4 linked regions of the Mytilus edulis genome follow. The protein of the gene in region 1 interacts with the protein of each later gene in a biochemical or structural test. Links are inferred from orthologs where the notes say so. Each region holds a gene or a part of one and is shown in the gene's direction. Other genes may lie near its edges. The genes, in order: ubiquitin-conjugating enzyme E2 N-like, E3 ubiquitin-protein ligase RNF8-like, E3 ubiquitin-protein ligase RBX1 and helicase-like transcription factor.

Region 1 (7,714 bases):
GATGTTTTTTTCTATAGAATTCTAAATAGTATGTATAGCAATGGCAGACTCTGTGTGAGGGTAGATAATAAAATAACTGATTTTTTTTAGTTCAAAAGTTGGAGTCCGTCAAGGGGATGTTTTAAGTCCTAACCTGTTTATAAATTTTTCATAAACGATTTGCCCAAAGCTTTAAAGGACAACTGTAGAAGTTGGTCGGTGGAAAAATACACCAAGAGAAAATCGTATATGCTGTCACTGCGATTCAAATACCATTGGTGACGAATATCATTATTTTTTTGTATGTTCCAATAAACAAATTATGTCTTTAAGAGAAAGGTATATACCTACATATTACATAAAAAATCCTTCCCAATTGAAATTTATTGGTCTATTATCACACTGTAACGTGCCAGTGCTAACAAAAGTGTGCATGTTTCTAAGACATATTGAAAAAATATTTTCATAATTCATAGCATGTTACAATAATTTCTAACCACGTTGCAATTAAGAATTTTGCAAACAAATCAACCAAATATATTTCAGTTTTATTGTATGATATCAATTATTAATCTATTGTGTGACTTTCTTGTAAATGTATAAGTATGTATGTAATTTTTAATGTATAATTGTTATCCTCTTGTAGCACCATACGTGTGCCTAAGTTGTAATAAATTGTCTTGTCTTGTCTACAATTAAATAATAAATGTGTACCTTGCCTTCTCTATGCGGATGACCTGGTGTTATTTTCAGATAATAAAAAGGGTTTACAAACCCAACTTATTTTTTATACCAATATTGTAGTGACTGGTGTCTTGAAATAAACACAAAGAAAACACAAATTATAATCTTTAATAAAAATGGGAGACTACTGTCAGATGAATTTAATATAGGTGCAAACAGAATAGAGTGTTTGAAATTCTATAAATACTTAAGGATTAGTTCTTACTAATACTGGAAAATTTAATGCAGCTAGAAAAAAACCTATATGATAAAGAACTAAAGGCTTCTTTTAAATTTTACAAAAACATTAAGTCATTTTCTCCATCTATTAAGACTTTACTTCATATATTTGATCACACCATCAAACCAATGGCTGTGAAATATGGGGTATGTTAAATTTGACTCCAAAAAGAAGAACCATGCATCTTTTTGAAATCTTCAAAGATTGGGAACCTGATAAATTAAATCTTAAATTTTGCAAGTATGTTCTTGGTGTCTCCAAAAATTGTACAAATATTGGAGTTATATCAGAGCTAGGTAGATTTCCTTTGTATATTAACATAGTAATTTAAATGTTTATGTATTGGCACCACCTTGAAAACTCGCCCACTGATCTCTTAAGTGATGCTTATATTGAAAGTTCCTCTGATAAAGCTGTGGCTAATCAATCGTGGTATGCAAACATAAAGTTTTTTAGTGAAAAACTTGGTTTAAATTTAGCACTTTGTAAAAAACTCAGTAAAAATAAATTCAAAATTTTACTTACAAAATGTATCAAAACGGATTTTTTAACATATTGGAGCCATCAAAAAGACTTTTAAAAAAAAGATGATCACAGTAAATTGAGCAACTACTTTAAATTTAGACATAATTTCACTTTTGAAGATTACTTCAAAATTAAGAACAGAGATAAGAGAGTTATACTAACTAGATTTAGAATAAGCAATCATTGTCTCCGCATAACGAAAAATTGATGAACATGGAAAAAATATTAACACTGCCAAGATCGGAGAGAACATGCCAGTTTTGTTCAATGAACTCGGTTGAAGACCCTTTATAATAAGGAAAGAAAAGGCTTTTTATTTTTACTTTATGTGATTACATGCTTGTTATGAGCCCTATGATTAGGAAATAAAATATCTTTATCTTATCTTTATACGACCGCAAAAAAAATATTTTGCGATCGTATATTGGTATCATGTCGTCGTCGTCCGAAGACATTTGGTTTTCGCACAATAACTTTAGTAGAAGTAAAAAGATATATATGAATTTTAACACAAGGGTTATGACCATAAAAAAAAAGTTGGGATTGATTTGGGGAGTTTTGTCCCAACAGTTTAGGAATAAGGGCCCCGAAAAGGGCACAAATAAGCATTTTTCTTGGTTTATAACTTTAGTATACTAGTAAGTAAATAGAAATATATGAAATTTAAACACAAGGTTGATGACCACAAAAGGAAGTTTAGGATTGTTTTTGGAGTTTTGGTCCCAATAGTGTAGGAATAAGGGACCAAAAGGGTCCAAAAGTAAACTTAGTTTGATTTCATCAAAACTTGAATTATTGGGGTTCTTTGGTGTGTCGAATCTAAACGTGTATTTAAATTCTTAATTTTTTGTCGTTTTCAAATTGGTCTCAATTAAGGTTCAAAGGGTCCAAAATTTAACTAAGTTTGATTTTAACAATAATTGAATTCTTGGGGTTCTTTGATATGCTGAATCTGAACATGTACATAGATTTTTTTTATTATGGGCCAAGTTTACAAGTTGGTCTAAATTGGGGTACAAAATTAAACTTTGTTTGATTTCAACAAGGATTTGTATAGTAAATACAAATCCTTGATTTCAACAAAAATGGAATATATGGGGTTCTTTGATATGCTGAATCTAACCATGCATTTCGATTTTTATTATTTGGGCCCCTTTATCAAATTGTTCCACACTGAGGTCTAAAGGGTTCAAAATTGAACTTTATTTGAATTCATCAAAACTTGAATTCTTGGGGTTCTTTGATATTATGCTGAATCTAACCATGTATTTATATTTTATTTATTGGACCATAAAAGGTAAAAGACCAAATTAAAATATTTAAGATTTTAGACCACATTCATTCTGTGTCAGAAATCTATTTTGTGTCAACGTTTTAATCACAACCCAAATGCAGAGCTGCATAAAACTTGAATGGTGTGTCCATACTAGCCCCAACAAGTTCAACCTCTGCGGTCGTATCAAGCTGTGCCCTGCGAAGCATTTTATTATCTAATATAATGAAGCATAACAGAAAAAAAAGTTTCTCTCTAAATATCATAGTTTTCATGATAAATGGCAAAAATGAAAATAAAATATCATAAAACTTGTCATTTATGGGCAATAACTCCTATAAGAGTTTGTCTAGCAGTTTAGTCGTATATATGATAAAGGACAATTGATAGAGCTCATTATTCTGAACTTATTTTTTCATTTCAGATTTTCTCTATTTAATATAACGGTTCAAAAATAATAGATAAAACTTGCTTTTTACTTTTCTACTTTTACCAAGTCAGCCCTGTTGGTTGGTAGGCAGGGTTATCTGACATTTTTTAGCTAGATACTAACCTTAATGATGGTTGTTGCAAAGTTTGGTAAATTTGTCTCAGTAGTTTCAGAGGAGAAGATTTTTGTAAAAGACTACAATAAATTACAAAAAAATATCCAAAATTGACTACAAAGGACAATAACTGCTACAGGGGTCAATTGACCATTTTGGTAATGTTGGCTTATGTGTAGATCTTACTTTGCTGAAAATTTTGCTGTTTGCAGTTTATCTCTATCTATTATAATACTCAAAATAATAACCAAAAAATGTAAAATTTTCTTAAAATTACAAATTCTGAGACAGCAACCCATCAACAGGTAGTCTGATGCGTCTGACAATTTCAGGACAGATACGTCTTGATCTGATGAACATTTTCACCCCCGTTCAGATTTGCTTTAAATGCTTTAGTTTCAACATGGAAGTATTATATTGTCAATATAATACTTCCATGGTTTCAACAACAAATGAAAGATTTTAACGACCTTGACAGGCTATACAGCCCTTGCACGGTCGGCATTAGTTTCATCGGATACATTTTTCAAACTAGATACCCCAAGTTTGGTTTTATTTGGCCCATGCTTTCAGAAAGGAGATTTTTTTTAAAAGTTAGCGGACGACGACGGACGACGGACGCGAAATGATGAGAAAAGCTCACTTGGCACTTTTGGTCCAGGTGAGATCAAAATGCCGGAAGACTATGAAATAGAACCTATTGACATCCAAATCAAGAATAGAAGTGGGTATGGACACTGCTTTCTGTCTCTATATTGCCGGGGTGGGGTGGGGAAGAAAAATAGTTAATATCAAAATCAATAAAAAGCAAATGAAAATTAAGAAATATATGCATTATAGGGATAGAAGAATTCGGTATAATGCAATAATACAAGTACAATTTAGACTCAGCAATAACTCTGATTCGGTAAGTCACCCGTTAAACTCGGGAAAATATTCCATGTTTCAACTTGGTTGATGTTTTTCAGTCATATTGTGCCATTTCGTGGCTGTCAATTTTTTTTATATTTCAGTTGAGGAAGCCGGAGTGCCCGAAGAGAACCACATACCTTCAGTGGTGGATCCAGAACTTTTCCTAAAGGGGGAAAAAGTCATGCTTCAGTGATTCCCTATATAATCAACCAAATGTTTCCCACTACAGGGGATCCAACACCACCACCCCTGGATCCGCCTATGAGTTCTTCGACATGAAAACTGACAATCCGGCCTAGTCAATTACGATTGGAGTCGAGTGCACCTGCCACTTGAATAGTAGGTATTGGGAATTTATGTTATGATAAAATCTTTATTATGCCTAGATAACATTCCGATTTTTACTAGGAGGATTCTGAATCCTACTGAATTCCATTTTTTAATGTGACATATTTAAACAAAGTGAAACAGATACAATAGTGGACGAGTTGCACTGGGGCGAAATACCCATTTTTAACTTCCGGGGAAACGCCATTTTAAAACGTTCTGGTTCTCTCATAAACAGATAAACAAGACTTATTATAAGAAAAAGTAAAGAATGGCCACTGTACCTGGGAATTTACCCCGTCGAATCATAAAGGTGCCAATTATATTTCTCATAAAGTAGTCGGGATTCATAAATGATATCATACTTCAGTGTCTACAACATGATTTGCCATTTTTGAGTGAAGAGTTGAACATCATCATGTACAATTTCTTTGTGAATGGCGAGTTTTGCGGCAATACCTTTTTTTCAGTGATGAAAAGAAATACCATAACATTATTGTTTTAAGTTATTAGTCCAACAAATGATTAAGAATTTGGATGTCAATTCAGGGTTTGGTCCCCTGTTGGTTTCGACATCGGTCTGACATACCGATTTATTGGCGATTACCGGTCTATTTGAAAATCCGGATAAAAGGCCGATATGACTATAAAAGAACTTATTATTATTTGTTATCTTCAACACTAGACCCTATAAGTTGAGAAACTTGAACTGTTGATGTAATTCAACAATCACTTTTAGGTTGTTGCTGAGACTACTATAACATGTGTTATAGTAGTCTCAGGTTGTTGTGTCAAATCCCAACAATCACTTTAAGGTTGTTGTGTCAAATCCGGGTCTGTTCGTCCTGATTCACATTCGCTCAAGTACTTGTTTGCCCAGGTACATTTGTACCTGTTTGTCCAGGGTCCATTCATCTTGATTTGTATTTTTTCTTAATGCTGTCTAGGTGCATAATATTTATTTTGGAAACAAAATATGTTACAGTGGTATCCGGTCGTTCCGGCCCCAAACCGATCCGGCCCCAAGTCAATCCGGCCCACGTCGATCCGGCCCACGTCGATCCGGCCCCAAGTCGATCCGGCCCCATAATAAAATAAGAAATAACTATATTGATCTTGGAGGAATTTGTGACACAGTATAAATGGAATTTGCAAAAAGTGTCCAATGATGGATGACAACAGGTATTAAGTGAAGTATTGGAGTACCAGTTAAAGAACTATTTTAAATCGATACGAAAATGATTGTTATTGTGTCGTTGGTTGTATGGCAGCTTCAACATATTTTAAAATATGAAGTTATTTTCCATGATAACTTTAACTTTAACTCATGGCGATTTCATTTTCTTTTTTTTCATACACAGAATATCTAAATAAATATTTAGTCCACTGGAACCTATTAAATTTAACTCATCATAATGACTTGATTAATCAAATCATTAGTCTATAATTGGTTTGTTTATTCAACAATTGTCTGATGATTGTTAACTAAGGTGATGCCACTTGTAATCACTTAATTAAATCAAATCCTGATTAATTGATCTTCTGGTTAAGGTTGGTGTTTATAATAATTATAAATTGTATTTTTTTCAGGTAACATCACAGGCTTCTATTTACTTGTTTTTTTTTTTTATAATATCAACGAGGTCTTTATAGATTGATATTTTGTTTGGTGTATATAATAATAACCTATAATGGTTTACTTTTATAAACTGTTATTTGGATGGAGAGTTTTCTCATTGGCAATCACACCACATCTTCCTATATCGATATATTTTTCATAAATTTGACAGTATTTTCAATGAATAGTTGTGTGTAGAAAAAACACAAGTTATATGAGTATCCATTATTCTTTATTGCAAGAAAATAACAAAACAATGACACTGAATGCACATTTTCACACTCTAAAATATAATATCAGCACTACTAAAATATAACAATAACATCATACATACTAACTATCTCTGACACTCACATAAATATACATAACCTTTTAATAAATCATTTACACTAACAGTTTTACACTGTCACTTACTTAAAGGAATTGTTTTAATATAATTATACCCAATAATCTTGAAAACTTGAAAAATAAAAACATAATCAACCTAGTTGTTTTATACTCATCTGAAGAATTTTTTTTTTTTTTTTTTTACCGTACACCTTTAACATTATAATAAAAATCATAAACATTTATGAATTACTTTAATATATATCTTTATTTTTATTCCTTATAAATATATTTTTTTATTGGGGCCGGATCGACTTTACATTTGGGCCGGATCGACGTGGGGCCGGATCGACGTGGGACGGATCGACTTGGGCCGGATCGACGTGGGGCCGGATCGACGCGAAAGCGTTACAGTTACAGTTTGTTGAAAAATTCGCCAAATATTTTTATTATGTTATCTTTACATATTTCTGGGTACACAAATATACAAAATGAATCCATGACAAATCGCCCCACACCTAATCGCGCCACTTTTTTTCAAACTTTCCCCACTCTTGTTTACCAACTCGCCCCACTTATGAAAAAGATAAACTCCCATTGCAAATAGGTTTGATAACATGCCCCCCTTATGAAAAGGGTTAAAATCCCGCTGAAATACAGTCTGTCAACTGGCCCCACTCATGACAAATAGATAAACCACTTATAAAAAAGATGCAATCCCATCTTTTTCCCTGCCCACGTCAATACCTTTGAAAACCTAAGTGAAGTGCTATAAAATCAAATTGCTGTTAAAAACTCTGTTTTTGCAATAAAGTTATATATAAATGTTAATCACGCATCAATTGTATGATTATGATACAATTAATAGGTTTCTTTTCAATTGTTATACAAATAACTAAGCTTACAAGTATAAAGTTATTCTCCAATAATGATACGAAAATGTATTTGCAATTATATTTTAAGAATGTTAAAAAAGTTTAATAAATTTCATTTTTTTTGTATTCTGTGTAGATTACAAAAATCAAAATAAGTTTTCATTTAAGTGCGGCTAGTTGGTAGACCTGAAAATTGTATATAGAAGTAGATTTTTCCTTTTTTTCAATAAGTGGGGCGAGTTGACAGGGGAAAAATTAACTGGATTTAACCCTTTTCACAAGTGAGGCGATTTTTTTAAAAAGTGGGGCGAGTTGGTTAACCAGGTTGGGGCGATTTTTTTAATAGTGGGGCGAGTTGGTGAAAAAGTG
Region 2 (7,243 bases), on another chromosome or scaffold:
ATATAATGCATGTCATTCAAAATGGTATTAAAGACATTTTGTTTTAATAATAATGATAATAATAATAATTCTTTATTTAAAGAGGGTTACACAGTTAGCTGTAATCTTCCCTGAGGCCCTCATGAAATACAATGAAATATAACAAACAATTACAAAATATCAAACAGACACACATACATGAATAATGAAATAAAAAATTGTTATGAAATATACAATTTTCAAAACAGGTAAAAGTTACAAATTCATATATGACATGTATAGTATTGGCATCAACAATATCATAAGTTTGAGTAAATGTGTGAAAATTATTATGCATATAAAAAATGCATAGCTTCTTAATGTTCCATCAAGTAATTTTTTTAAATCTTTTTTGAATGAGCTTGTACTTGAGGTTGATTTTTTCAGGGATATTGGTAAGTTATTCCATAAAATAGATCCTGAATATATAAAAGATTTCTTATAAAGCTCTGTTTTGGCTTTTGGAACTTGTTAATTTTTGCAAGAGGCATTTCTCAAACAATATTGGTTTATTTCTGGCATTTAAACTTTTCAGGGAGATATAAAGGGGCTTCATTCTTAAGGCATTTATGCATCAAAACTGATTTGTGGTATGAGATTCTGTTCTCTACTGTCATCCATTCAAGCTGTTTAAACAGTAGAGCTGGTGATGAAAGTGGATCAGCATCTAAAATAAGTCTTGCAGCCCTTTTCTGCAATTTTATTATTCTGACTAGCTCATTTTTAGCACAACCACTCCAAATAATACAACAATAATCTATCAGTGGGAGAATATAACCATTATAAAATAATAGCAACATATCCACTGAATTGCTTTCAACAGTGATGATGAAGTTGACCTCTAGTTCACAAACAAAGACATTAATATATTGTATCACTACAAGAAAAATCTTATAAACTGTTTGAAGAATTAATGAAAACTTTGACTTATTTTTATCCTTTTTTTCTAAATAATTCTGGAATAAAAGGTCAAATAACTCCACCTAACAAGGCCTTAGAAATTGTCTCAGATTGCAGATTTTGCATTTCATTTTTCAAAATTTTCTGACGGTAAAAGTTCAGGAGTAATAAAATTTATTCACTGAATGTCAACTTTATTTTATCTGAAAAAAAAACAAAATATTTTCAAAACTCGAATGAATATTTGTGTGCTTTTGAGGTGCTCAGATGGCAGGAAATTGCATCTTATTTCGAAAAATTTTCTTGGGGGGGCATGCCCCCAAACCCCCCTAGCTAGTTCGGGCCGCGTTGTGGCCCTCACCGGTGATGGAGGTGGACTACCAGGACTACCCAAAATTTTTCTTGGTAGTCCTGTGGACTACATCACCTCTAATGTTAGTGTCAAACCCTGGCATATGTAATATGATGTCAACAAAAACATTTCAGCTGTGAAACAAGTCTATTATAGTCGGCCCTGTCTAGCCGAATGGTAATATACAATGAAGTGACGAAAAACAAATAACGATCTATGGACACTAAACTAGAAGAAATTCAATCTAATTCAGTGTATAATAATCTGAGTTTTGTATTATCATACAGAATAATCTTACCTTAGGTGTCTGTCCCTTGACCTTTCCTGCACGAGCAAGAGAACCGTGAACTTTACCTGTTGATAAAAAAAAATATTTTTAAATAAAGTTCAGGTAGGAATAGTCTAAAAGATTTGTATTGGCATTGGAAAGAAAGGAAGAAGATTCAAACAAAGACTCATATTTGTTGTATTATGTAAATTAGACTGCTAGTTTTTTCAGATGAATTAGTGTTTCATATTTTTCGTGTCAGGACTTTTGAACTGCTGACTATATGGTATACAAGTAGTTTATGCTCAAAGTTGAAGGCTGTAAGGTTGCTAATAAATATTTGATGAAAAAGTGGCCAAATTAAAAAAAAATATTACCTCCAAGCATTCTGAGGTCAACATCAAGAGTTGAAAGTTCATCGACGCTAGTTAGCTGAAAATCATCTTGTAAGGGTTTTCCTCCAAACATAATAACCTGTTCTTCAACTGGAAATCCATCCTTTGCTAGTAAAAAGCTCTAAAATCATAAAATTACAGGTTCACTTAAAATAATTACAAATCTATTAAAATGTCATAAATATGTTAATGATACTTGATAGTGATCAATCTCATTTTTGTTTGTTTTAATCATGTAATTAGGTTCTTGTTGTCCTGTTCTTAGATTGTATGTTTTGTTTTGTATACCATTGGTCTTTGTTTTGTGCCTGGCATCTTCCACAGCTTTTTTCAATATATCTTTCTTCATATTTCATGACTTTCATGTCATAAGTTATCTGATCACTGAGGAAAATGTGGAAACCAGTTTACTCAGAGAGCAGACCAGTGGGTTCTCAAGTGGTAGAAACAGGATGCTCTTGTTGTGGCTTTATATATAGTGTAATAATAATAAAAGATGGCCTTGTACAAAAAGGGTTGATACATCATTTACATGTACATGTATGTGGTCAGCCCAAGCTTTACATTAATTTATAACGGTATAGGCAATATTTAATCTTTCTATTCAAATCTAAATGTTTCTTGTGAAAGTCGACATTTGTTTCGTTTTCACAATACTTTTCCACTTTTAATCTTGTTTAACTTAACTTATCTATTCCAGTTGAATGCAATTGTCTTGACATACCCTACAAATCCAGTCCACTAGTGTGGAGCAGACAGTGAGAATCACAGGCTATAATCCAACTGAACACCATGTATACATATCAAATTACATGCTAAGACTAAAACTTACAGCAATTTGAATAGATACATTTTGTATTAAAATAAACAGCAATTTTCATATTCTGACAGGTACAATTAAATCATATTTTTGAAACATTCAGTCTGCATGGTTAGCCACTAGTCCAATGCCCCAGACTAGTCAAATTTCATTGGGACTAATAAGTTTTTGCAACTTTGTTTGGCCCAATAAGAAAAATGTCAGAATGTTGGTCTTCGGAGTTGAAAACATTTCTGATGCAGACGGAACATTAACAATAATCTGGATGTAAATTTTAAAATCTTATTGTGACAAAAAACATCTTTTTTTTTAATTTCTCTATTCACCTTGATATCTGCAATGGTTTCTGTTCCTGACACCTCAAAGGTGTGGGTTTGGCTACCCCGTACAAAAAGCTGCATGTTTAACCTAGAGATAAAAATAAAATAAACATGATAATTATGTTTCAGTAGGTCGAGTTGTATTCTTCATACACTAAATGCATTTCAATATCAATGAGAACAATATTCCGTCAAAACTACATGTAGTCGTGTAGATGTGACAATTTTAATTATATAGTTTTCTACAATACTTTTGTAAACCTACATCATCATCATCACCAACCTGACCAATCGTCAATGCTGTTTTAACTTTTTTGTTTGTTTGTTTTTTTAATTATTTTTCCTCCGATCCTGTAGGATGAATTTTCACTATTTTTTTCATGAGTTATAAACGTATTTACACTTTTGGTATTTAGCTGTATTGTGCCTCTGAATGACCTTATATCACCTCCGAATAACCTTTTGACGTCAAGCAACAATAACCTTTTAGTTGTGACGTCAAATGTTTTGAATTATGATGTCAAATTTACGGGAACCTGTGTGATTTTATGTAATGGCGGACAAATTTGCAAACAAGTGTAAATACGTCTATTGATGAGATGCGTCACAAAATCCTCCAATTTTAAAGAAATTATTCATTTTTCTAATTTTGGCTGGACAAGTTGGAACAGATTTGAAACAGACTGATACCAGGTTTTAAGATTAATATGATTTTATGAAAAATTTGTTTAGTAGGAGTCATCTTTTGAAGACAGTAGCCAGTGATCTCTCTCCTTAGTCTTGGTACCAATTCTTTCTGATATGATGTGGAGCGATTATCTGATTTGGTCATACACTGAATAAGAAAATTTCTAGCACTAACTTCATATGATATGTGTTCCAAATTAATTATTAATATTATATATTTATGGATATCCCGTCTTCAGCATGGGTGAGATTTACAGTTTATCAACATATGAAAAGCTGGAGTGAAATTAGCCGAGCACATACCTGTCTGTTCGTCAAAAAGTGGTCTGAGGAACGTGCAATATTTTATCAACTTTTAATATAGTGAAAATACATTAAAATAGGACAATAATCATCTAACAAGACTTACACGTGCTGGTGCAATGCAAAATCAGTCCAAAAAGGAAGTATATTTGTACGCATGCGTGGAAATACTACCCCGAAATCTATGACGTAAAGCACAAACGACTAGCGCAGAGCGCTCTCATCTAAATCGAGAAGCAAAAATGTCTCAGCAACTGAGCCAAACCAAAGACCAAGAAACAACATACATCCCTTGTCTTCATCGCATTGGCGATAATGTTAAGAAGCACAAGCTTATTAGCCTTGAAAAGAAAACCGAAGTATGCTATTTACATAAATTGTCCTTTCAAAAATATATTATAACCATGATATAAATACGTAATACAAATAAATCTTATGAGGTCCAGAAAAGTTATAGATACCCCTCTCTCTGTAGACAATAAACATAGTTGAGGTTCATCAATACACTTTAACAAAATGACTGTGTTTACACCATGAAATTTTCTCTGAGTACAGACAAAACTGATTTGAAAAGTTTTTTAGCCTGGCAGCATCTATGGTCTAGCTGCGAATGAAGTTCTTTTGATGATTTTGATATTTGCGGACAGTAAATTATGCCAAAAAAAAATTTATAAGACAATAGAGCTACGTTTTCTCAGCTAGGCAGCACATAGATAGTGGGTCTCATTAGGGTCTAAGCGTGATGCGGGATTGCCGTTTTTTTTAATAAGCGTGACACGTGAAATTCTGTATTCTGTAGGTGTCGCTGTTGACACTGGATTGTCCCTCTTTTAATTGTTCAAGTCTCGCGTGTAAATATTTCACTCTGGTAAACAACTCACTTGTACTTTAAAATATATACTTTTAGGTGGCAACTGTCAATGACTGTGCTTAACATATTTTGACAAAAATCAGTGATATTGTTGGCTTTTTTCAAAACTACCTGTACCCTTTTTTATTGGGAAAATATGCGTAATTTTCATCAAATTGGGAAATTTAGATTAAACAATGAATTTGACTGAAACTTCAATTTACAGACCCGCTTTCAAGAGTCAAACCCTGTTTAAAAATAAGACTGCTTTTGTCAATGATGATACATAAATAGACCCTCAAATCTGCACATATAGTAATTTTAGGCTTGTAAAATGTATACACTAGTGTTTTTCAGTTTGTATTCATGCAAAATAACTACTGAGACTGCACTGTTTGGGAAAAAGTTGTCTTTTTGGGAATAATTTTAAGCCATTTTTTTTTCAAATTGGGATTCTTCTCCAGGGGAAAAAGCCTTTATTCTCCATTAATTTAAGGCAAACAATTACACTGAAAATTAAAAACATAATACATTTATTAATTAACATGAAAATTTAAAGGAAAAAAAAAAGAAATAATAATTAATATTTCATTAATCAAACCGGCGTGACTCGCAAATAAAGCCACCCAACAATCGCATTAGTGTTTCATTAGAGATGGAGACATTGTCGTTTTTTTCCATCATGACAATAAAAGTTCCAAATCAATATGCAACGATCCTGTGTTTAAGTATATCTCATGTATAAGTTTCTGTCTAGCCTCTTCATAATTTTCACAAAATAGTAAATAATGTAATTTTTTAGATGGTATCCGGATCTTAAAATTCTAATAATTTTTGCTGTTTTATGATCTGGATAATCAAATGTTGATTTTTTGCTGACAATCTGATGAAAATTGTAATAAAATCTTCCTGTATCACTATTATCCCATCTATGTTGCCACTTTTTCACTAAAATTCTTGCTGCTGTTTTAATATCTTGTTTAGTTACTGTAATATGAGCTTCTTTTTTAATTTGATTTGCCTCTTTAGCTGCATGTCCTGGGGTCCATTCAAAATTAATTTTTATTCCACGATGTTTTTGGATAGATTTAATAAGGGAGTTGGGTTGGCAAGAACCTTCTGTAAAAGCAACAACTGTTGCAGGAGATACTGTGTTAAGTTTGTTTAATATTACATTTTTTCCTGTGATTTCTTGTTTCTTTTAGTAGGCAGGACTTTGACACTCAAAAACATATCCATTATATTGTAGAGTCATTTAATTACTGATATGGTACAGAAACAAAGATGTTCTCTATTGTACATGTAACATGTAACCAGTAGGGCTTTTATATCTTAAAAATGTTTCATCCCAGTAAATCCTTTTTTTTCAGTTTTCAGAACTTTTTCAATCCAAGGTCGGTGGTTTTCTCAGTAAATGAAGATTATTGGACTCAACTTACATGATTTTGATACATTGTACATCTTTGGATTCACTTATTTGGAAAATTAAATAATAGTCCTTGCAGATTTTCATGACTGCAGAATTCAATGGAGTTGTCATGGTGAGACTCCTGCTGTATTTTATTAAAATATCTGTTTATTTATCTTGTAGGTTACTGTAGGGAGAGCGCCAGATGTCACAGTTTGTCTCTTGTCTAACATGATATCAAGATGTCATGCCATATTCAAATGTAATGACGAGGGACAGTGGACTGTGAGAGACAATAAGGTACGTAATAGCCACATACAATCTTATTTAATTCAATCCTTTGTCTGAAGTTATTGTTTGAGAAATAAATAAAGATGTTTTGATCATACATGTACATGTATATTGATTTATCCTGCAATTGGGTGTTGTACTATACAGATAAAGCCCTACAGATATTGCTATGCTGTATCTGTATACTATACAGATAATGCTTTAAAGCTCCGCCCACTGCCAGACTGAGTATTATATGAACCTGTGTGACCTCAGAATGTGTATTGCAGTTGCATTCCAATGACGTATCAATTGCGAATTAACGATTACTTTTATACGTTCTGTTTGTTTTCAAACATTTCTTTAGAGCAATAAGAAACACCAATTTTCTGATAACATACACACATGAACAGCAGTCTTTTCTACGATGACAACTATCGATTTCAAAACTTGAATGTGTATGATTGTGTAACAAAAACAACCATGTCAATTTCAGCATGCATGTTTAGTGAATGTCGAGTCTGAAGCATAGGACAACTCGTACACTCCTGTTTCAAATTGGACAATGTTTTGTTATTTGTTTTTACTGTTGAAATTAGTTGTTATGTTAAAATAGATAATTATTCACCTTGAGTGATGTATTATTGTTGAC
Region 3 (7,016 bases), on another chromosome or scaffold:
TATAACAGTGTGGCCTCCAAGACATGCCCAATGGGCAGGAGTGTGTCCTTTGTCATCTCGGAGTGAGAAAACTGATGGTCCATCTTCAGCTGCTGTCTGAACTGGTACCAACATACTGAAACAAAAATCACAGTTTTTAACATGTTTAAGCCTTAACGGTACATGTACGTCCAGACAGTACAGTATATTTATAACTATGGTGAAAACTAAGTCAAATTTCATTATTTTTAACAAATAAAGTATTACCTACAATGTAGGCCATGTAGGAGTATACAATGTAAACAGTTAAATTATAGCTAATTCTGCTTTTACCAGCTCATTTAAGCTATTATATGCTTTTTTTTAAAACACAAACATGACTTAGCTGAGAGGGCAAGAGAGCAGATAGTTACTCTGTGAAAACATTGTCTACCAAGGCAACAATCTGCTTTATTATACCTCAGTCATCATTTTGTATATAAAATAAGTACACAATATTTTCATTATTTTTTCAAATTGCAAGCGTAGAACTTAATTGGACCAGTCAATAGTTTCCAACTATTGGACCTCGGTGAAACTATTTAACCGCAAACGTCATCATATATCGCAGAATTTCAAATGCAGCTACAGTATTGACTAATTTCAGAATGCCGTGGGGGTTGCAACATCGAGTTTTACCCCTTTTATCTAGGGTTTTATCAGTGCAGAACGTAGTTTAAACTGCTTTACCATTCAGAATATATATGATAATGAAGTAAACATGAAACAATATAATTGTGTTTTTGTTTTTTATATTTATACGATAGTTGATTTAGCCCCAACATTTATTGTCTGATGTCTCTTTGGTCAAATAAAACACTTACTGACCATGCTGACTGGATATTCATGTAACAGTAAGTTCATTGACCCCTCAGATATGCATCAGGTGGGTCTCATTGGGGTCTAAGCGTGACGCGGGATTGCTGATTTTTCGTAAGCGTGATACGGGAAAGTCAAATTATTGTGCCATGAAAACGGGAATTAAGGTCTAGCGGGACACGGGAAATTACAAAAAAATTAGAATTGCTTAGGTACATAGTATAAGCCGGATACGTGAATCTGACAAAACAGTAAGCAGGATCCGGGATCAGAACCCCCCATCAGGGCAATAGTTGCACCTCGGAGACAATAAACAATAAAACTTACTATTTCACTTATACCCAGTCAATAAGTATACAATATCACTCTCTGAGATATCTGTTCATTTGATATTTAATTTATCAAACTAAATGTTCTGTCAACAGTCAGTATTGTCATTTAAAAATCATAAGGGTAAGTAGTAAACTATGACTTCATATACAAAAGTAACACATCATTAGAAAAGAAATAAAAGTTAAGCAACATGCATTTATGCTTTGTTAACAGTTTTATGAAAAAGCCTAAGGCCGAAACGTAGAACTTTTACTGAACATTGTCTTTTAAATAGTAATTGATAGTGAATTCAATTCCTTGTCTTTTGAATTATTAATACATTATTGATCTGCATGGGAGGGTGACATTTAAATAGTGTCTGAAGTAAAATGCCTTCCTCATATTTACAAATCAAAATCAGGCAAATGCCTTTCACATGATCATGATGATGTTTATTGATTTTTTCAAAGAAATTTCAGTTTCTTATTTTTCATTTGGATAATAATCATGATAATCGTGATAATTTAATAATTTACAGGTATAACAATGTATACTACATGTATAAAGAAGCATTATGCTTCCTATAATTTTCAATGTTTTAATTTTACTATAAAAATCAATCCTACCAAGAATAATAATAAAAGTTTAATAAAAACAAATTAGTATTCTGTGAAGTTTTAAACTGCACTCACAAGTATGATTTAGTATTCGTGGTCATGGTGGTATATTGTCCCATTTCCATTCTCAATTTTATTAATGCAGAAACTGCAAAATAATTTGAACAAGAATGTGTCATAGTACACAGATGCCCCATTCGCCCTATCAATGGACTGTGAAATTGGAGTAAAAACTCTATTAATTTGAAAGATCATATCATAGGGAACATGTGGACTAAGTTTCAACTGTTGATTGGACTTCAACTTCATTAAAAACTACCTCGACCAAAAACTTTAACCTTAAGCGGGACAGACAAACGGACGAACAGACCAGAAAACATAATGTCCATAAATAGGGCATAAAATTGACACAAGGGTGACACTAATATGGTGCAATCAGCTAATATATCACAATATACCTCAAAATGTAGCTATTATTAAACCTTGTAATTATGTAAATGACTAGCAACATAGTAAACAAACAGTAATTTCTAAATTAAACAAAAACTTTGAACACGTTTTCATTGCTTCATCTAACAAATAGAATCCCTTTAAATTATATTATTGGTTACTTCACTTTACAAAATTCTATGTAAAACATAAACATTAGTGAAACATGTAAAACTTATAGATTCAGATGATGTGCAAGAGAGATAGAGACGGATGTGTGCGATTTGGTTGGATTTATATGTTGAAATTACCCAGATTTGATTGCATCAAATATTGGATGATTAGGAGGACTTTTTCCATCTTTGACCGCACTTTCTGTCTCCCCAGGACCATGTTTATGGTCTCTGGAGGCTGGTGTTTGGTTAGTTGACATGTTTCCTTTCCGAGATGTTCCAACATGTACATAAATTATTTAACGGATTTACAGACGAAACGAAAGACGGTCGTTCGAAACGTTTCGGTCACATACCAATTCGTCCACAGGTCGTTTCGGCCAAACTTCCAGTTCGTCCACAGGCATTTCGGTCATACTTTGCCTTATTATGCATTCAAGAGGTATGATAGAGAATAAAAAAAAGGAAGAATTTTGTCAAACTTAGCCAAAATATGAAGTATATTTTGTGATAGATTCAAAACCAAGTAAAAATGTCAGACATGTATAAAATCAAGGTCACCGAGCTGAATTTTTTTTTCTCAGTAGACACTGGTTGTGAAAAAGGAGGATTTTTCTGGATAAACATATTTTGTTAAATTAATATACATCACTTTTTATCAACAAGTTATCTTGTTTTTAAAATGTTATTTCAATTTGATTGTGAACTTTACGAATATTTTTGTAACATTTTTTACTGAATTAAAATACATCTTTATCTAATATGGTTGGTTTTTTTTTTACTATTTTTAAATTTAAAAAAAAAATCTTTTTCTACCTTTTATCAAGGACGTATGTTAGTTATACGTAACATGTACGTCCTTTTATATAAAAATCATGGCCGCAATTAATGACTTTACAAAGTTTGTCCGAACTCAGTTCGTGGCAGCATATGGCCGAAACGACTGTTGCCGAACTGGCTGCATGACCGAAATTACTGTTGCCGAACTGGTAGTGTGGCCGAAATGACCAGTAGCTGTTGCCGAACTGGTAGCATGACCGAAATGACTGTTGCCGAACTGGTAGCATGACCGAAATGACTGTTGTCGAACTGGTAGCATGGCCGAAATGACTGTTGCCAAACTGGTAGTGTGGCCGAAATGACTGTTGGCGAAACGTCCTGCATCGAAATTCAGAGATAGGGAACACTGAGACCACTATGACAAAGAGTAGTCTCGGGTCAACACGGTCACCATGGCGTCATTTATATTACATTGGGATGTGGAATGATTACTATAATGACATTTCGAATTTCCAACATAGTCCATTTACATCCATATAGGCCCAATTGATAATTCCAAGTGTCATTACTCTTTCAGAAAAAAATATGAGCAAAGGTGTCGGCGTGCTTCTGATTTATCTGTTTTAACAATCCTAAAATATATCTCTTCAATCAGTAAAATTTACTGAACTTTATTTATGTGCAATTTCTCATTTACGCTGAATCAAAAACTTGACAAACTCTCCGACCTTTATAGTAATTATTCATTTTAATTATGGGCCGAATCGACTTGGGGCCGGAACGACCTGATACCCAGAAGAACTAACAGATTCGTTACACATAAAAATCTACAAATTTAATTTTCAGTACTCCTCAAGACTTTAGCACTGATTTGACGATGACGTTAGAAGGCCGGAAATTTCATAAATAATGGCTGCTGCTATGGATGTCGATGACGGTGATCTTGGAGAATCTTCAGGTTTGGGAGCAGACAAAGCTGGAAAGAAGAGATTCGAAGTTAAAAAAGTAAAACATTTCGACCTTTTACACAAACTCATTCCTTTTTCGGAAATAATATCTACGCATCTTGAGTGTTACTGTTGGTTCTATTTTTACTATTTTAGAAATACGAAAATACGAAACATTTTATTAAACATTTAAGGAAAGCTCAATTATGAACATAATCATTAATATCATAGATACATTTAGAGTAGTCCAAATAAGTATGACATCTTGAAAGGCTATTATATTTTTTTCTTTGATGCCTAACATGGTCGTAAGACGTCAAAGCAAAAATTAAAAATAGCCTTCCAAGACTCCAAAGAAGTCATAATTATTTGGACTAATTTTAGAGTTGGCCAAAAGCAAAGGGCCTTACTCAGGTTGAGCTCAAGTCATGACAAGTTGGGTATTCCTTGTTTTCAGAGTACACTCCAGTTTTTCTGGTGTTATAAAAACAGTATATATATATATATATACATGATATAGGGACCGGTAGGTCTCTTCACCACCGCACACCACCGAACACCTTAAAAGTTTATTATTTTGTCTTTCATCATTATAAATGTGTCTTAAATATTATATTCAAGTTATTAATTTAACAAATCAGAAGATTAAGAGTCCAAAAATCTACAGAAAACAGAAAGGGAGAGTCTATAACACCCCACTTTTTGAACTCTGCAGACCCCCATGGACACCTCAAATATATTTTTTTCCGTTTTTTTCTTCTTCTATCTCTTCTATAAAACATTTGTCCCAATAATAAGAAAATAGACAAATATCAGAATCTAACCGAGAACAGAGATTGAGGATACTTGAACTGATTACTAAATATGAATATTAACACACACAATGTAATCCGGAAAGTGATGAATCCTGAGACGTTTTCCTTATATTGATTATCGACTTTAACATAAAAATGATGCCCATATAAATCTAAAAATTGTTTAAATTATACCTAATTTAATTTGTTTTATCATTTTATCATGTTTATTGTATAATATCACAGTTTATCTTAGTGGTTGGTGGTTTTTATGATGTTCAGTGGTTTTCGGTGATGTTTGGTGGTAAAAAGACACACCCTGTAGGAACCACTTATTTCCTTTTTAATTTATGCCTATGGTATGAAATCTACAAAAGCGCACCTCCTACATGTGATAACAATGTTTTATGATCATGATGATAGCAAGTGTTTTTATTAGTTAAAAAATCAGCTAATTTCAAATAAGACAACCGAGAAACTGAAATATAACAGAATTTTGTGACCGTGTGACATTTTTTGAAAAATGTGAGTTACATGTATTAAAGTACCTTGTGTTATATTATTTAACATGTTTAAAGGTATATAGGGGAAAACAATTCTGAGACAAGTGCCTGTGAATTGCAAACCTGTACACCCAATATCAATAGTCATGATAGTGTTACATACAACTGTATCTGTCATATTGTAACTTGATTGTCCATTTTGTATATTAGAAGTATATTTTTTAATATTTTCTATTTCAGTGGAATGCTGTAGCTTTATGGGCCTGGGGTATGTACACTATTAAAGTGATAAATTAGTTCAGGTGGACATGATGATGAATATTAGAAGTACATCAATGAATAGAAGTTTTACATTTGAATTCAGACAGGAGTTATTTTCTTCAAATCTGTCACATATTTTAATGTGCCAGTCCTAAGTGGTGAATGTTTTCAGTGTTCCTTAGCTATATAAAATTGAGAATGGAAATGGGGAATGTGTCAGAGAGACAACAACCCGACCAAATAAAAAACAACAGCAGAGGGTCACCAACAGGTCTTCAATGTAGCGAGAAATTCCCACACCCGGAGGCGTCCTTCAGCTGGCCCCTAAACAAATATATACTAGTCCAGTGATAATGAACGCCATACTAATTTCCAAATTGTACACAAGAAACTAAAATTAAAATAATACAAGACTAACAAAGGCCAGAGGCTCCTGACTTGGGACAGGCGCAAAAATGCGGCGGGGTTAAACATGTTTGTGAGATCTCAACCCTCCCCCTATACCTCTAACCAATGTAGAAAAGTAAACGCATAACAATACGCACATTTAAATTCAGTTCAAGAGAAGTCCGAGTCTGATGTCAGAAGATGTAACCAAAGAAAATAAACAAAATGACAATAATACATGAATAACAACAGACTACTAGCAGTTAACTGACATGCCAGCTCCAGACTTCAATTAAACTGACTGAAAGATTATGATTTCATCATATGAACATCAGGCACAATCCTTCCCGTTAGGGGTTTAGTATCATACTATCATAGTCGTAACATATATGAGAAGAACATAACCCGTGTCATGCCAACAACTGTTTTTAGAATAAATGTGTTTAGTTCCGATGCAAAGACCTTATCAGTGACTCAATATTAACGCCAAAATATGCAATCTTTAATGACTTGACAACAGTATCGTAATTATATCCCTTCTTAATAGGCAGTGTCTGCGCGTACCCGCATGTGGGTACGAATAGTCAAATTGACATTCGTAGGCTACGCGTACCCACATCCGGTTTTATAATAAAATGCAATCAAATCGGGAATTAAACGTGAAATATATACAGAAATTATCGATAATATGGGGATTTCGAGTAGAATGAGTGAAGGCAAGGAATTGGTATAACAAATAATATTTTCGAATTGTATTTATAAGTTAATAATATCAGAGACGTCTCTGATAATATATAATAAATGCACATGTACTGATTGAAAATGAAATATACAGTCCCTGTAAACTATAGTCCTATAATCTGATAATATATAATTTCCGAATTTTAAGTTGCTTCCACGCCTCAGAGGCAAAATATTTTTTGATGCGCTGAAGGTTTAAATTACATTTTCGTCAAACATTTTGTTATCTATTACA
Region 4 (7,767 bases), on another chromosome or scaffold:
CTGTACAGCGGTTGGTCCGGAACCTCTAATTACTCTGTCTCCAACTATATCCCAATAATAATCGGCGCCAACTAAGACTGATATCTCAAAATCCTTGTCCTGTAAAGCTGGGTGGGCTAACTTCAATCCATTTAAATGCGTAAAACTCGACTGGTTCCTTGCGTATGTATGTATCGGATAAGCAATCTGTGGTACTATAAGAACTTCAATAGGGATAAGTATATTCGTTAGACCTTTTATATAGATAGTAGCAATTGGTAAATTTCTAACCTTCTTGTTGGATTCACCGAAACCGGATATCGTTATCGCTTCTTTCCTATGTGGTCTCAGGTTCAATAAATCGGCCATCTCTTGAGTGATAAAGCTTCGCTGGGCTCCTTCGTCGAATAGTATATTGGCGGTGTTAAAATGTGTCTTGTCATACGTGATAGGTGCTATCGCGGTTTTCAACAATACTTGCGATCTAACCGATGATGTGGATGAATGCATGCTTGCGACTGCGGCATCGGTATCTGGTTTTGATGTACTGCTATCTTTAGACTTGGTATACAAGTGTGTTTCATTCTTTGAACAAATACTAGTATGGTGTCGTTTATTACAGTTTTTACATGTTTTATCGGATTTGCAATCGGCAACTCTGTGATTTCCTAAGCAATTGAAACATGCCTGTTTTTCCTTAACAATTCGTTTTCGATCTTCTATTTCCATGACATTTTTACAAGCTAACGGGGCGTGAACTCCTTGACAAAAGATGCACGGCTTCTTGGTTATGTCTCTTTTCCCTTTTTGATTAGCGTAGTTACGATTTGTACCCGTAAGGAATGCTGATGTGGGTGTGTAATTTGGCTCTATATTATCCCCGTTTACCGACTGACCTGCTTCCTTAATCGTTATCTCATGTTGAATAGCTTGCCGTAACGACGGCAAGTTCCAGTGGTCGCCTCCGTGGGCACGTACCATGTTTTCTCGTATATTCCCAGGTAGTTTATTTAATATTATGGGCACTAAAAGGCTTCCGAACGACTCTTGAGACTCTCCTATACTTTCAAGGCCACGGATGTAGTTTTCCATGCTGTCGTAAAAAAATTTCAAATGTGTAATATTTGACGTTGGACTAGGAAGGCTGATTAAACTCTGCATGTATGTTTGTACTATCTTGTGTGGTTGACCGAATCTTTGTTTCAGTACATGTAATGCTTGTCCGTAATTTGTGTTAGTTATTTGTAGACCTGCTATGCATTGGGTGGCTTCTCCGAACAGTTGAGATTTCAAATAATTAAATTTCTGTACATCGCTTAAAGACAGGTTATCGTGTACGGCAGCACTAAACGAATCCCAAAAGGGTTGCCATTCTAACATATTCCCGCCGAACGTTGGTAAATTTAATTTGGGAAGTTTGTGGTACATGCTGGAGTTTGAAAAAACGGACGCTGATGTATTTGCGTGCATGAAACTGGGCTGTGGCTGACTTTCTTGATGATTCGTGTAATTAATAAACTCGTGTGCATTTGGGTTTAGCAATGACTTACTTGACTGTTTGTCTGTGATTTCCGATTCCTTAATGATTTTTGAAAGTTTGGTTACAGCCATTTCTATGTCATACGTGTATCTGTCGGCTTCCTCTATTTCTTCGCTCACTTCTTCTTCTGATAATTCCTCCACAATCTTCTCGTTCAGTTGGTCGATCGTTTCCTGCTTTTTAGCAATAAGTCCTCGAATGGTAGAAAGTTCGCTAACGTCATATTCCTGCAAAAGTTCCTCGGAACTCGGTTCCACTTTCTTCAGTAACTTTGTAAGAACTCCCCGATGTCCAGCTCGTCTGGTCTTCATCTTCGTTGTCGCGGTACTCATCTTTCGTATTCTTCTGTTTTTGTCACGGCACCAATGTTTTGGACGTATCAATAATAAAGGCGAGTAAACACAAAAGCGTCTTCAATGTTTCGTATGCTTTACTAGAGTCCAAGATATACAAAGAGACGTCGTCAAGTGACGACGTTGCGGGCTTATTGTTACGTAAAATGGCGGTAAAACGTTAAGCAAATAAAAGAGTATAAAATACTAAACTGAAACTATAACTAATTCACAACATATGTAGATTCTTAATTTTTGGTCCCGTTTTCAAATTGGTCTACATTAAGGTCCAAAGTGTCCAAAATTAAACTTAGTTTGATTTTAACAAAAATTGAATCCTTGGGGTTCTTTGATATGCTGAATTTAAAAAAAATGTACTTAGAATTTTAATTATTGGCCTAGTTTTCAAGTTGGTCCAAAATTAAACTTTGTTTGATTTCATCAAAAATTGAATAAATGGGTTCTTTGATATGCCAAATCTAACTGTGTATGTAGATTCTTAATTTTTGGTCCAGTTTTGAAATTGGTCTACATTAAGGTCCAAAGGGTCCAAAATTAAACTAAGTTTGATTTTAACAAAAATTGAATTATTGGGCTTATTTGATATGCTTTATCTAAACATGTACTTTGATTTTTGATTATGGGCCCAGTTTTCAAGTTGGTCCAAATCAGGATTCCATATCAAGTATTGTGCAATAGCAAGAAATTTTCAATTGCACAGTATTGCACAATAGAAAGAAATATCTAATTGCACAATATTGTGCAATAGCAATTAATTTTCAATTGGAGTTATCTTTCTTTGTATAGAATAGTAGTTGATTATATATGTTGGAAATTTGCCAGACATGACTATGATGTCATTTTCTATTTTTATTTGCCAATAACTTTATGTAAATAACTTCATTGGAAATTTGCCAATATAAAATGTTGCTGATGAAGCTTTTTTTCCTTATCTTATCTAAAATGTTTTTAGATAATGTATGTTGGACATTTCCCAGACATGACTATGATGTCATTTTCTATTTTTATTTGCCAATAACTTTATGTAAATAACTTCATTGGAAATTTGCCAATATAAAATGTTGCTGATGAAGTTTTTTTTTTCCTTATCTTATCTAAAATATATTTAGCTTAAAAGTTGTGTCCATACTTGTTCTCATTTCAGATTTCATAAATAAAAAGAAAATTTCTTCAAACGTTTTTTTGACAGGATTAATATTCAACAGCATAGTGAATTGCTCAAAGGCAAAAAAAAATTTAAGTTCATTAGACCACATTCATTCTGTGTCAGAAACCTATGCTGCAGGGGCGGATGCAGGAATTTTCGAAAGGGGGGGTGCTAACCCAGGGCAAAGGGGGGGGGGGGGGTGCAGGGGGGGTGCAAAACATATGTCCCGATACAAATGCATTGATCGGCAAAAATAAAGGGGGGGTGCGCACCCCCGGAACCCCCCCCCCCCCCCCTGGATCCGCCACTGTGCTGTGTCAACTATTTAATTTTAGATTTAAATAAGTTTGAAGAAGAAATCTTTAATTGATTTGTAAAATCTTGACATTTGTTTTGTGTAAAAAAAACCATATAATGTCAAAAATTTGATCACAATCCAAATTCAGAGCTGTATCACGCTTAAATGTTTTGTCCATACCTGCCTCAACTGTTCAGGGATCGACCTCTGCGGTCGTATAAAGCTGCGCCCTGCGGAGCACCTGGTTATGTTTTGGTCTGTTTTTCTTAAACTATAAGCATAAGGTCAACTTTATTTGGTGTATGGAATGATTGTTAGGTGTTTATATTTGTCTGGCAGGAATCATATGACCTTGACCTCTTCTTCATGGTTCATAAGTCAATGATAAGTTTTTAAGGGGTAGTTCCAGGGGTTGGATCCCCCATTTTTTTGGACGATCAATGCATTTGAATGGGAACATGTAGTTTGAACCCCCCCTTTTATCCTATGTTGGGAACTCCCTTTTAAAAATGGCTGGATCTGCACCTGTTTGGTGTATGAAATCAAGGATTTGTATACACAGGCACTTGTTTCTGTCAACCCATGATTTTTCGTGACGGTGTGGATAGTAAACCCCACATTGACAGAAACAAGTGTCTGTGTTTGTTTAGTCTTGCTATACAAATCCTTGACGAAATTATTGTAAAGGGTACTTGTATTTCTGGTTAAGTTAATCTGACCTTGATTTTTTTTTCTTGAATCAAGATAGTATATATATATATGATACTTGTGGTAAAGCTTTATATTTGGGACAATCAATATTAGGAAAATTTGGATGATGATTCAGGGAAGCAGGACTGGAGAGGGCCCTCTAATGGCAGTCAGTGGGGCCCACTTTTGAAAAAATTCTGAAACCGTCTGCACTGCCACATTAAGTTCTAGATCCACTATTAAATGATCTTAAATGATAGAAATAGAAATTTTATGCATTTATTTTTGTTATGAAAATAACCATTAAACTTTAAAGAGGAGGTTGGGGTTTAATTTTTTTATAAATAATTTTCTGATCCCCAATTTGATGAATAAAAATATTGTGATCAAGTAAGATGAATAAAAAAAATATTCTGAAAATCCAGATTTCCCCATACCTTTTAAAAAGTGTTAAATTTGTAGAGAAAAAAATGATTGTGTGATAAAACTAACAAAATGTTTCTGTTTTCCTACCAAAAAAATATCCTACTCAGACAACAAACAATAACAGCCTTTAAAGTTACATGATTTTTTATTTGGTATAATCATGGAAGTATTAAATAAAAATACTTCCATGGTATAATGAAAAATGAGACGAACATTAAATTTACTATGTTACAATTGTTTAATTCAAAGAATCGAATGCGACCAATTGAGATCAGGGTCACACTACTTAATCTAGTATGCCCGGAAAATGAAAATTGGCGGGAAATCGTATTGAACTAAATTGAAGTTATTGCAGACGAACAGGATTTTAGTGCACTATTCACAACAGAGGTGCTGTTATAGCAATCTTTTTTTTTACTACGAGTTGGTCTATTAGATTGTGTAAGTAAGATATGGACGTACTTGCATGCTGCCATTTGGCATTTGCTGGGGTTAACATTTACCTGTTTATTGTCAAACCTCCGTCCGTGTTGTGTTGCTAAATTTAGAATTATTATTTTCTTCTTCTTCTTCTTCCAATAATTTGCATACCACCTCTGGTGTATTGTCGCAAATGACTATTTGCCTATGCCCAAAGGAAACACCTTTCCGACATACTATATACAAAAATTTGGTTAAAAGCCATCGTGCCTTCGTGGTGTTATATTAAAACTGTAATATCTAACATAAAGCAGGTGTCTGGAGTCTGTCTTTGAATCCTTCCAAAGTGGAAGCTGTGACGACAGCATATGGTAGTTCATTCCTCAGACGAATTTTAGATGGAAAAAATGATTGCTGGTGGTTTTGTATTCTTGAGTAGGGTAGTAGGAATCTGGTGTCATGTCCTCTAGTTGTTAATGCTACACCCCTCGGTATTAAGGATTGCTCAGCAGGGACTTAATTCAGTTCGGGAAAGGTACAAATTCGTTAACGTATACGAATTCGCTAACGTTAACAAATTTGTTAGCACCAATAGAACCAATGTTATATGCATATAAAACTATTGCTTTTGTGAATATAACATAGAGGAGGATGCCTTCATTTTTTTAACTTCACTCTGCAAGTTACTGTAATATTCAATTTCTGTTTCATCCATCTGCAATGATACATATGTTTTCTGCTCAAAAGTCATCTTAATTCAATGAGAGAAAAAATGTACAAGGTTTAAAATTAGGATTTATTGTAACGGGATTTTAAAAGGGACCCACAGACAAAATAAAAACCAATAAAAAGTCTTAATTAACCACGATTGGAGCTCCTTTAAAAGGGGAGGGGGCACAGGCACCCCCCTGAATCAGTCTTTGATAATATTAGTTTAAAAGAATATATATATAAGCAAAATGGAAATATTTCGTTTTTATGAAAACTAAATCTGTTATTAAACTGAAATTAATACTAACTAAACTACAATGACCTCAAACTAAAAAGTTTCACTTAGAAGCCTCATTAAACGTTTGTATTTTAATTTGCATTCTTTACGGAATTGTGTGACGTAAGAGCTAAGGGACGAACGGTTATCCACAAGGGTCGAGTTGTCCCAATAACAAAATGGCCGACAATGTTGTTTTACGGAGAAGGAGAGGTAGAATATACAAACCTTGAGGTATTTCTGCTAATTTTCTGGTCAGACGTTAAATTCTCCCGGTCAAAAAGAACAGGAAGTTAGTATTCTAATTGCAAAACCATATTCTGCGATGCCGTTTTCTGTATCAAAGTGCCGATTTCAATTTGTTTGTGAAGTTAACGAATTTGTTAATGTTGTGCTAACAAATTTGTTAACGTTAACGAATTCGTATGCGTTAACAAATTTGTATCTTTCCCGAACTGAATTTGGGAATTTCAAGCTGGGAGCCCAGACCAGATATTTCATAATTAGTTTCTATATGTTCAACTGAAATTTACCTGAAAGTTAAGGGCCCCAGCTCAAAATCTAGAAGCCATGGGCAACTGGGCTTCCTTTAAGTTTTGTCCCTGCTCAGGTGGTATTGCAACAAGATGGGTGTATTATGCGGTAGAGCATGATGGTCTTTACTCTCTTTCTACATTCTTGTAATTCAATCCATTGCAGGTCTTTAAGCATCTGGGTAACACTACCGGTGGTTCTGTAGTCCCCAGTTACAAAGCGTGCTGCTCTTCTCTGCACCATTTCTAACTCTCTGATGTTTTTCTGCGTTATTGGGTCCCAAATGATACAAGCGTACTCCATAATTGGTCTTACTATTGTGGTATAACATTGGGCCTTGATCTTATTATGACAGGAGCTGATATTTCTTCTCAAGAAAGAATTGATGTTCGCTTTCTTGGTTACTGTACCTATATGGTAGTTCCATGATGAGTTGTGGCTGATGTTAAGGCCTAGGTATTTAACATTCTTCACTACTTCTAATGTTTTTCCATGTATGGTGTACATATCTTTTGGTAAAGTAAACAAGCATCTGCAAATAATCTAGCTTTAGATGTTACTAGTTCTGGCAGGTCATTTATGTAGATGAGAAAGAGAAGAGGCCCCATTACAGTTCCTTGGGAAACCCCAGATGTTTCTGACTTCTTTCAATCTAAAACAACCTGTTGTGATCGGCCCTGAAGGAAACTCCCTATCCATTGAAGTGTGTTCCCTCTTATACCATAGTATCTGCATTTGCTCAACAGGCGTTGGTGTGGCACTTTGTCAAACGCTTTTGAAAAGTCTAGCAGTACACTGTCAATTTGATCCCTGCTGTTGAGTCCATCTGCTAGGTCTTGTATAGTAATAGCAAACTGGCTCTCACATGTTTTATTTTTACGGAAACCATGTTGATTTTCAGACAGGATGTTATTTGCCTCAAGATGACTGATGATGTTACTATGAATAATATGTTTCATGATCTTGCTACAAATCGACGTCAGGGATACAGGAGGATAGTTTGATGCTTTTCCTCTGTCTCCTTTTTGTCGAGCCTTCGACTTTAGTCGAAAAAGGGAGACTAAGCGATCCTACATTCCGTCGTCGTCGGCGGCGTCCACAAATATTCACTCTGTGGCTTAAGTTTTTGAAATTTGAATAACTTTCTCAAACGATCCTGGATTTCTACCAAACTTGGACAGAAGCTTGTTTAAGATCAAAAGATAGTATCCAGAAGTAAATTTTGTAAAAATAAAATTCAATTTTTTCCGTATTTTACTTATAAGTGGACTTAGTTTTTCTGCTGGGAAATATTACATTCACTCTGTGGTTAAAGTTTTTAAAATTTTAATAACTTTCTTAAACTATCCTGGGTTGGTACCAAACTTGGACAGAAGATTGTTTATGATCATA

Evidence for each region.
Region 2: the proteins of ubiquitin-conjugating enzyme E2 N-like (region 1) and E3 ubiquitin-protein ligase RNF8-like form a complex in vitro, tested with the Homo sapiens proteins (7 studies listed by BioGRID). The link is inferred for Mytilus edulis from reciprocal best matches to the Homo sapiens genes UBE2N and RNF8.
Region 3: the proteins of ubiquitin-conjugating enzyme E2 N-like (region 1) and E3 ubiquitin-protein ligase RBX1 form a complex in vitro, tested with the Homo sapiens proteins (5 studies listed by BioGRID). The link is inferred for Mytilus edulis from reciprocal best matches to the Homo sapiens genes UBE2N and RBX1.
Region 4: the proteins of ubiquitin-conjugating enzyme E2 N-like (region 1) and helicase-like transcription factor form a complex in vitro, tested with the Homo sapiens proteins (2 studies listed by BioGRID, with this or other methods). The link is inferred for Mytilus edulis from reciprocal best matches to the Homo sapiens genes UBE2N and HLTF.

What each region holds. Positions count from the first base shown.
Region 1 is NC_092344.1:52,090,400-52,098,113, forward strand, and holds the start of ubiquitin-conjugating enzyme E2 N-like, read left to right. Parts: upstream 1-4,689; 5' UTR 4,690-4,796; coding exon 4,797-4,838; intron 4,839-7,714. UniProt on the Homo sapiens protein: The UBE2V1-UBE2N and UBE2V2-UBE2N heterodimers catalyze the synthesis of non-canonical 'Lys-63'-linked polyubiquitin chains. This type of polyubiquitination does not lead to protein degradation by the proteasome.
Region 2 is NC_092346.1:50,166,044-50,173,286, forward strand, and holds the start of E3 ubiquitin-protein ligase RNF8-like, read left to right. Parts: upstream 1-4,233; 5' UTR 4,234-4,305; coding exon 4,306-4,422; intron 4,423-6,504; coding exon 6,505-6,621; intron 6,622-7,243. Other genes in the region: ubiquitin-like FUBI-ribosomal protein eS30 fusion protein, read right to left, coding at 1,569-1,624, 1,916-2,054, 3,080-3,161, 4,170-4,222. UniProt on the Homo sapiens protein: E3 ubiquitin-protein ligase that plays a key role in DNA damage signaling via 2 distinct roles: by mediating the 'Lys-63'-linked ubiquitination of histones H2A and H2AX and promoting the recruitment of DNA repair proteins at double-strand breaks (DSBs) sites, and by catalyzing 'Lys-48'-linked ubiquitination to remove target proteins from DNA damage sites.
Region 3 is NC_092351.1:23,909,768-23,916,783, forward strand, and holds the start of E3 ubiquitin-protein ligase RBX1, read left to right. Parts: upstream 1-3,994; 5' UTR 3,995-4,057; coding exon 4,058-4,153; intron 4,154-5,632; coding exon 5,633-5,660; intron 5,661-7,016. Other genes in the region: uncharacterized protein, read right to left, coding at 1-115, 2,507-2,628. UniProt on the Homo sapiens protein: E3 ubiquitin ligase component of multiple cullin-RING-based E3 ubiquitin-protein ligase (CRLs) complexes which mediate the ubiquitination and subsequent proteasomal degradation of target proteins, including proteins involved in cell cycle progression, signal transduction, transcription and transcription-coupled nucleotide excision repair.
Region 4 is NC_092346.1:81,894,090-81,901,856, reverse strand, and holds the start of helicase-like transcription factor, read left to right. Parts: upstream 1-4,749; 5' UTR 4,750-4,874; exon of another isoform or gene 4,875-4,878; intron 4,879-7,767. Other genes in the region: uncharacterized protein, read right to left, coding at 1-1,830. UniProt on the Homo sapiens protein: Has both helicase and E3 ubiquitin ligase activities. Possesses intrinsic ATP-dependent nucleosome-remodeling activity; This activity may be required for transcriptional activation or repression of specific target promoters.